Tamandua tetradactyla: one gene and its partner. The protein of the gene in region 1 interacts with the protein of each later gene in a pairwise test. Links are inferred from orthologs where the notes say so. Each region holds a gene or a part of one and is shown in the gene's direction. Other genes may lie near its edges.

Region 1 (3,748 bases):
CTGGACATCCTTGGGTGCTAAATCTGGTGGGCTATATTTATTGAGCATGTACTATATTCTGGGTACTCCTCTAGGCATAGAGTTGCAGCTGTAAATAAGACAGTGTACCTCCCTGGCAGAGCAGACAGTTAGTGAAGATAGACCATGGACAAATAAGCTATAGCAGCAGGTAGATGAGTGCTGAGTAGCAAGGTAGGGTGCTGCCAGCAGGAGGTCAGGGAAGGCCTCTCTAATGAGGTACATGATGGCATTTAAACAGACATCTAAGTGAAGTGGGGGAGCCAGATGGGTAAATATTTGGTATTTAAGGGTTGGAGGGGAAGAGGAATGAAGCATTCCAGGAAGACAGGATGGCAAGTGCAGAAGTTCTGAAGGAAAAATTTAATTAGTGAGTTCCAGGAACAAAAAGGAGGCCAGGGGCTGGAGCAGAATGAGCGAGGAAGAGGAGGGAGGCTGGAGTCTGACAGGCGGTGTGGACAACCTTGTATAAGCCTCCAAGGCCTCAGTTAAGCTTCTTTCTAGGTCCTAGAATGCCCAGTTTAAATGAGAAGAATTCTAATTGCTCAGGAGTGCAGTTTTTCTCCTGCAATGATCTGAGAAGCTTGTCAACAACTAAGTTTCAGGAAAAACAAGCAGGGACTGTGTGAGGGTATCCCAAAATAGACTCTTGTTTCTCAGGGGAAGCTCTTTCCTACCTGATCCCCTAGAAAGCAGTTCATCCATAGACTGGGCACTAGCCGCTTGGATTCATCTCATCTAAATTCAGGGCACTAATGAGGACATTGAAACAGTTCCTCTGAGAAGCTGCTGATTCACATGCTCCAAACTGAATAGCTCAGCTCCACCTCAGAGGATGAGCTTCACTTTAGCCTGCATTCTGCAGCAGTCCATGCAAAGATAATCAGAGAGCTGATGGCATCACTTCTGGGCTCCTTTCTGCCTGCTCATACTGGCGAGTCTGCCTGCCAGGGGATGTTGGACCCCTCCTTGAGATTATTATGGGAAGAGTTTTGAGAAGTGATTTCAAAATTAGTGTTTTAGCTGTCCTCTGCACTTCGGCTTCACCAGTCCCTCCCGGCTCAGTCCCCCAGATCTTATGGCCCCGCCTCCTGCAGTTGTTTATTTCCTGAGTTTCATTGGTTGAAGGAACTTCCTCAACCTCAGGCCTCAGGAAGTGGCAGTTAGGAGGGGACTAGCGGCAAATATGTGATTGCTATATGGGATGGTTTAGGAAAAGGTCCCGGCCCAGGTCGTCTCAGTGGGGGGACACATAGTACATGTATGTATGAGTATGTGTGTGTATGTGTAGGCGGGGTGGGTATTTTCCTGGAAAGAGAACGTCTCCAACTCTGAAATTCGTCGGGACTCGGCTTTATATCTCTTAGCCCTGGTCTGCTTTCTCTTTCGCCTGACTCCACACCCAAAGAGTGCCAAGATGCCAGGTGAGTGACGGGCACCCCAGGGCCTCAGGAGGTGGGGAGACTTTTCTCGCAGGAAGAGATGGGCCTCCTGTGTCCCTTGGCGGACCTAATGTGCCATCCCACAGAAGCCTCCAGATGAAACTGCATGCAGCTTCCAGACACCAGTCTTGATTATCACCGGGAAAACATCTATCTGGTAACTTTAGTCGAATTCCTGTTTGTAATTCCGGGCACTGTTAGTTCAAAGGAAAGATCACGCTCTAAGTTTCCTTCTCCCTGCTCCCAACCAAATTCCCGGAATTCCCGGGGTGAGAGGGAGGCAACAGGGCTGGGTTCCGGAAGCAGCTGCAGCATGGGAGAGGGGACCGATTTATTTGCTTCTGGTCACTCCTCTGCCAACTCTGAGTACCAGGACCTCACTGGTGGACAGTTGGGGGGCCAGCACCTGGCACCCCCACAGAGATCTGCCCACCCCCACTCACTTCCCACCTCCCCTCCCCCATCCTGCCAGTGGATTTGCCCACGGATTCTGCAAAATCCCTGTGTCCCAATCACCATGGACTTCTAGCAGATGAGTCCTGGCCTGGAAAAATGACAGTCACCTCCCTATTTCTGTTGGAGCTCTGCTTACCAGGAAGAACTGCTCCCTCCCCCATCCTTCTCTCTGTGCCGGGAGGGGAAAAAGAAAAAGGACAAACAAGTTCTTCCGGTTCTTCTGGTTGCCTTGGTTACTTTCATACCACTGGTTGGGTCTCCACTGAGACTTTTTTAATCTGATGTGTTTTGTTCTACCTGAGATGGAGGTGGGATAGAGAGAACTGGGGTTGGGAAGTAGACTTTGATTGTCTCAATAAAATCCTTAATAGTCCAAGGATTACCTGAACGTTGCTGCCAGTTACAAAGAGATAATTCTAATAATAATTACTCTTGATGTGCATTAGAATATTAGAGTTTTACACTTCCTCACCGAATTGTCTTTCTTGGGGCAAGTTCTGTGAGGAGGCCTACCTTGCTTCTCTCTCTCTCTCTCTGGCACTTTGGCTATGAAAAGTTTTTGCAGTGATGGACTGTTCTATATCTGCACTGCTGTGTAGCCACCAGCCACTTGTGGCTATTAAGCATCAGAAATGTGAACAACAGGACTGAGAAACTGAATTTTTAATTTTATTGAATTTAAATTTAAATAGCAACACATGATAGTGGTTACCATATTAGACATGACAGCTGGATGTTTAGGCATCTTCTAAATTCCAATCCATTTATTCCTTCTAGACAGACAACTTCAAGACCTCTGATGGCCAACGCATCACACGGAGGCTCAGGTGAGATTTATTTCAATCACTGCAGAAAATTCTGGCTGCTTCATCTTGGCCTGTAGGTCCAGTATTGGAGCTTTCCAAAAAAAAAAAAAAAAAGCCATGGCCTCAGGCATACCCTCCAAGAAGATGAGGGAGGAGGCCATCTGCTCCATCTGCCTGAACCTGATGGATGAACCCATGAGCATCAGCTGTGGTCACAGCTACTGCCACTTGTGCATTATGGGCTTCATTGAGAGTATAAGCCTCACACAGCCAGAGAAATCTACCTGTCCCCAGTGTCGGGTCCCATTTCAAGTGGACAGCCTCCGGCCCAACAAACAGCTGGGAGGCCTCATTGAAGTCATCAAGGAGCTGGAGCGTAAAAAGATATGTGAGGAACATGGAGAACAGCTCCAGGTATTCTGTGAAGATGAGGGCCAGCTCATCTGCTGGCGCTGTGAGCGGGCACCACAGCACAAAGGGCATACCACAGCTCTTATAGAAGACGTATGTCAGGGCTACAAGGTGAGTGGGCATGGGGGGTGGGGCGGAGGGCCTTGCTGCGTGCCTGGTCTCCACTGCCCCCAAGACCTGGGATTGTCTAGTCTGAAACTCAGTATTCCTGAAATATACCTTTCATCATGCCTTCTACAAATAATCGGTCATGGGTTCTTTCTAAAGCAAATCCAGACTGTCTATCCTGACTTTTAGTGGGATGGTCAGACCTCTGCCCCTTCCCCCTCTGATTATGACAGACTTCTCTCTGCCTTAGAACCTGGCGTGTTCAAGTCTACAGCTGCATGCTTTACTGCTTTGCACCATGTGTATAATTTGAAAAACCACGATGAGATGTTCATGCTATAGAATATCAAAATACAGGGGAGAAAGACATGCAATCTTTTAGGTATCCTATAGTTTAGTAGGAAAGGCAGTCCAGCAAAAAAGACTATGTGGAACCTACTGTTATGAGTGATGGGTGGAGGGGAAGGATGGCCAAGCAGTAGGGAGTGATATCAGGGAAGCCTTCCC
Region 2 (3,748 bases), on another chromosome or scaffold:
GTAACATTGTCATGCCATCCAATCCTTTAGATTTGGGAGGGAGGGGTCTTTGAAACAAGAGCAGGATGAGCGGAAAGTGTGTTAGAAAGGAAGGAGACTGAGATGGCACTGTGTGGGCTATGCCGGCTGCTTTAGGTGTTATTTCATCTAATCCTCAGAACCACCTTGGAGAAGGCATTCTTGGAGAGAAGCAACCTGGCCAAGACTAAGCGGAAAAGATGGCATGCAAACGATCCCAGCTGCCCTTGTTAAAGTTGCCTTTGAGAGGAAGCAGGGGATCGGGGCACTGTCATACCACAAGCTACATCTGAAGCTACTTCTGGGTCCCCAGGTAAGAGCCAGGATAAAGGTATACCTGCTACCTTATATTTGCCCACTGCCCCTCTATCCTGTTCTAAAGCAGGTGGCAGTGATGTAATCAGGTGCAAAGAATGCAGTTAAGTCTCCATCAGAACTCTACTGACACCAGGACCAGCCTCATCTCCTCCCAGTAAATCCTGCCTTTCTGCACATATTGTTAAAAAAGAACAAAACAACTTTATTACAGATGTAATACATGCTCGCTGCTGGGAAATGCAAGCCAACAAAAAAAAAAAAAGAAAGAAAAAGAAAAAAATGATTCATTATCCCCTCAGGTTAAAGAAAAAGCACCAACATTTTGATATCGATTTTCTTCAGTATCTTCAGATCACTAGGGCCCTGTCTCGTTTTCACCCTGGGGTTGTTTTCTGGAAGTTCATCCTCTGTAAATTCTGTTGGGGGTGAGACAAGGCTTCGGGAGACAGGCAGTTTGGAGTTGTGTTTGTTTGGGGTTGATTTTCAACTTCAAGTTGAACCTCCCAACCATGGGAGCAAAAGGTACTGGGAGCCTTTTTATAGATGGGCATCTGTATTCAAGAACTGGCCGCATCACTTGAGTTGTTTTTTCCTCCGGAATTTTTAGCCCCGGCAGCTTTCGGTTCTTTGAACAGTAAGTGTTTGAACCTTGATGATGTGTCAGAGGATGGCTCAATTGGCCTTGACCGTGAGACCCTTACTTGAAATGATAATGACTGGCGGCTTCAGGGGACGGCCTCGCCTCTCCCGCTCCTTCTGTCTGGGTTCAGAAGCTGCTTGCCATGGAGAGAGCACAGCGCGGGCTCCAAGGGCGGAGCTGGAGGGAGGCAGGCGGCCTGCGCCCCCTGGTAACCAGGCAACCCGCTCCTTAGCAACGGAAGGGGCGGGACCGAAGGAGGAAGTCGGAAGCCGGAAAGCAAGTCTCGCGAGAGTTGCTTTTGCGCGCGAACTCTTAAGTGCTGGGGTCCCAGGGTCTGATTGCGCAGGGGAGCTGTGCAATCGTTTGGGGGTGATCGACGACCGCCGCGGACCGTGTCACTGCACCACCCCACTCCACCATGGAGACCTCAGCGTTCAAGCAGCAGCAGCCTGCGGCGAACAAGAGCAGAAACCTACCTTGGTAGGAGGAGGCCTGCGGTCGCAGTGGGAGATAAATCAGTGGCACCGGGAGGGGATGGTGGGGGTAGAAAGTGGCAGGGCCCGGGCCCACCTCACCCCTCCTGCGCACCTGCGGCCGGGGCGGAACTCACACAGGTTTGCCTTGACATCCCCCAATTCTCCAATCCCTCTCCATTCTGTTCAGGACCTTAAAATTTTGCCAGGTCTCCCCTCACCCTCAGTTTCCTTGCCGAAGAGGAACGCTGTTTTTGCACCTGGTGACAGCACAGGGACTCGATCCCACGTCTTCTGACTCCCTTCATTGGTTTCCATGCCCAGTTACCCTCATCTCTTTCGACAGCCAAAATCTTCAAAACCGTTATTGGTCAAATCCTAAGCTAAGCTAAACAATAAAGTACCAACGCCTTTTAGTTACCATTTATAAAACGGCTGCGACACACAGCCAATTCGAGGTTTGGCGTGCGTTAAATCTTGTGATCCTTACAACCTCTTAGGACGTAGGTACTGTTATTATTCCCATATTACAGATGAAGCAACTACCTTAAAAAGGTTAAATGACTTCCCTGAGGTCCTAAAGGCAGAAAATAGGCTTGGATTTGAACCCAAGCGGTCTGAATTCAGAGCCTGCATTCTTAACCATCCTACTTCCACATCCATATGCTTAGTGATGCTTTGGTTGTATTTGGCCAGATTTTGGAAACTCCAAATTGTTTTGGTATAATGACTGCATTTCCCTTTCCATCCTACGCAATCCCCCAAATAAAGCACTGTTTTTATTTATAGAGTCCTGATCACTTCAGGGGTAGGAGTGGAGAGGTTCCTTTTTCAATACAGAGGCCTCCCTAATATTGGTTTGTTTTTACCAAACGCATAGGCAAGTGGCTTCATGGATTCAGAAAACAAATTACAGTACTTAGTTTCTTTAGTCCCACTCTGCTAGAGCGGCAAGGTGAGCATCAGTTTTTGCTTCTGGAAGAATCCTGAATTTGGGATTTTCAACTGTAACAACTCCAACTTCTATTTCTGAGGGTTTGGAATCAATTGATAGAACAGGAGACCGGTGTGTAATTGCAGTTTCAACTGTCTGTTCAAATGTCCAATCAGATTTCTTCTTTACTTTTTTTTTTTTCAAGGAAGCTGGTTGACTTGGTTTGTTTAATTCCTGCTGCAGTGGCTTTAAACCACAGTAGTAACCTGCAGGATCACAGGTGCACACCTAAGGGCCTGGCTCTTCCTCTATACCAATTAAAATCATGCAACATCCAAGAGGCCTCATTTCAGCGTTCTCTGTAGACCTGAGCAATATCTCCAGTTCATTTACACAACATGTCCACAGGAATCTCATAGCTATACTTGCGTTTCTATACCTCATAGCAGCCTCCCTCCCTGGGATCTAATGTCAGCTGTCATTCTTGTTATCATACAGCCAATGTTTTGGGTTATCTTGAATAAGTGAGTCACCGTGCTGAAATCCAATAATTTGTCAGATACTTTGTTCTTTGTGACAAGTACTGCACAGTCTTTCCCTCTGACATGTATGATGTAAGGCCACCTTGGTTAATAGCCTTAAAAGCATATTCTGGGGTACACAGGTGGTTCGGTGGTAGAATGCTCGCTTTCCATGCTGGAAATCCGGGTTCAGTTACCGGACCATGCGCCTGAAAAAAAAAAGCATATTCTGCTTGGTGGAGGCGGCCCTCAGGTGAAAAAACAATAATGTGGCAGTCAAAACTTGTGCTGGAACCATGGGACATGTTGGTGTGCCCACTGCTTCAAACATAGCTTCTGGGCCCCGAGCTCTCACACAAGGCTACCTAAAGAGTGCATTTTTTTAAAATTGTGGTAAAAAAAAACCGCATAATGTAAAATTTACCATTGTAACTATCTTAAAAGTATGCAATTCAGTGGCATTAAGCACATTCACCACTATCTAGTTCCTGAGTTTTTTCATCATTCCAAATGAAAACCCCAAACTGTTAATCAGTCATTCTCATCCTCCTTCCCCTCAGTCCCTGGCAACTACTGATCTGCTTTCTGTCTGTATGGATTTGCCTATTTTGGAGATTTCGTGTAAATGGAATCAGACAATGTGTGGTCTTTTGTATCTGGCTTCTTTCACTTAGCATTGATGATTTCAGGGTTTATCCATGTTGTAGCTTCCATTGTACTTCATTCCTTTTTATAGCTGAATAATATTCCCAAGTCTGGAGACACCACCTTTTGTTTATCCATTCATCTGTTGATGGAATTGGGGTAGGAGTTCAATTTTGAGTTCACTTTAAAATAGTCAGTG

The links.
Region 2: the proteins of TRIM38 (region 1) and RFC5 interact in binary tests that used the Homo sapiens proteins (3 or more experiments, as listed by UniProt). The link is inferred for Tamandua tetradactyla from reciprocal best matches to the Homo sapiens genes TRIM38 and RFC5.

What each region holds. Positions count from the first base shown.
Region 1 is NC_135351.1:29,230,168-29,233,915, forward strand, and holds the start of TRIM38 (E3 ubiquitin-protein ligase TRIM38), read left to right. Parts: upstream 1-1,121; 5' UTR 1,122-1,442; intron 1,443-2,693; 5' UTR 2,694-2,839; coding exon 2,840-3,244; intron 3,245-3,748. UniProt on the Homo sapiens protein: E3 ubiquitin-protein and E3 SUMO-protein ligase that acts as a regulator of innate immunity. Acts as a negative regulator of type I interferon IFN-beta production by catalyzing 'Lys-48'-linked polyubiquitination of AZI2/NAP1, leading to its degradation.
Region 2 is NC_135331.1:18,316,417-18,320,164, forward strand, and holds the start of RFC5 (replication factor C subunit 5), read left to right. Parts: upstream 1-1,251; 5' UTR 1,252-1,394; coding exon 1,395-1,456; intron 1,457-2,377; exon of another isoform or gene 2,378-3,034; intron 3,035-3,106; exon of another isoform or gene 3,107-3,209; intron 3,210-3,748. UniProt on the Homo sapiens protein: Subunit of the replication factor C (RFC) complex which acts during elongation of primed DNA templates by DNA polymerases delta and epsilon, and is necessary for ATP-dependent loading of proliferating cell nuclear antigen (PCNA) onto primed DNA.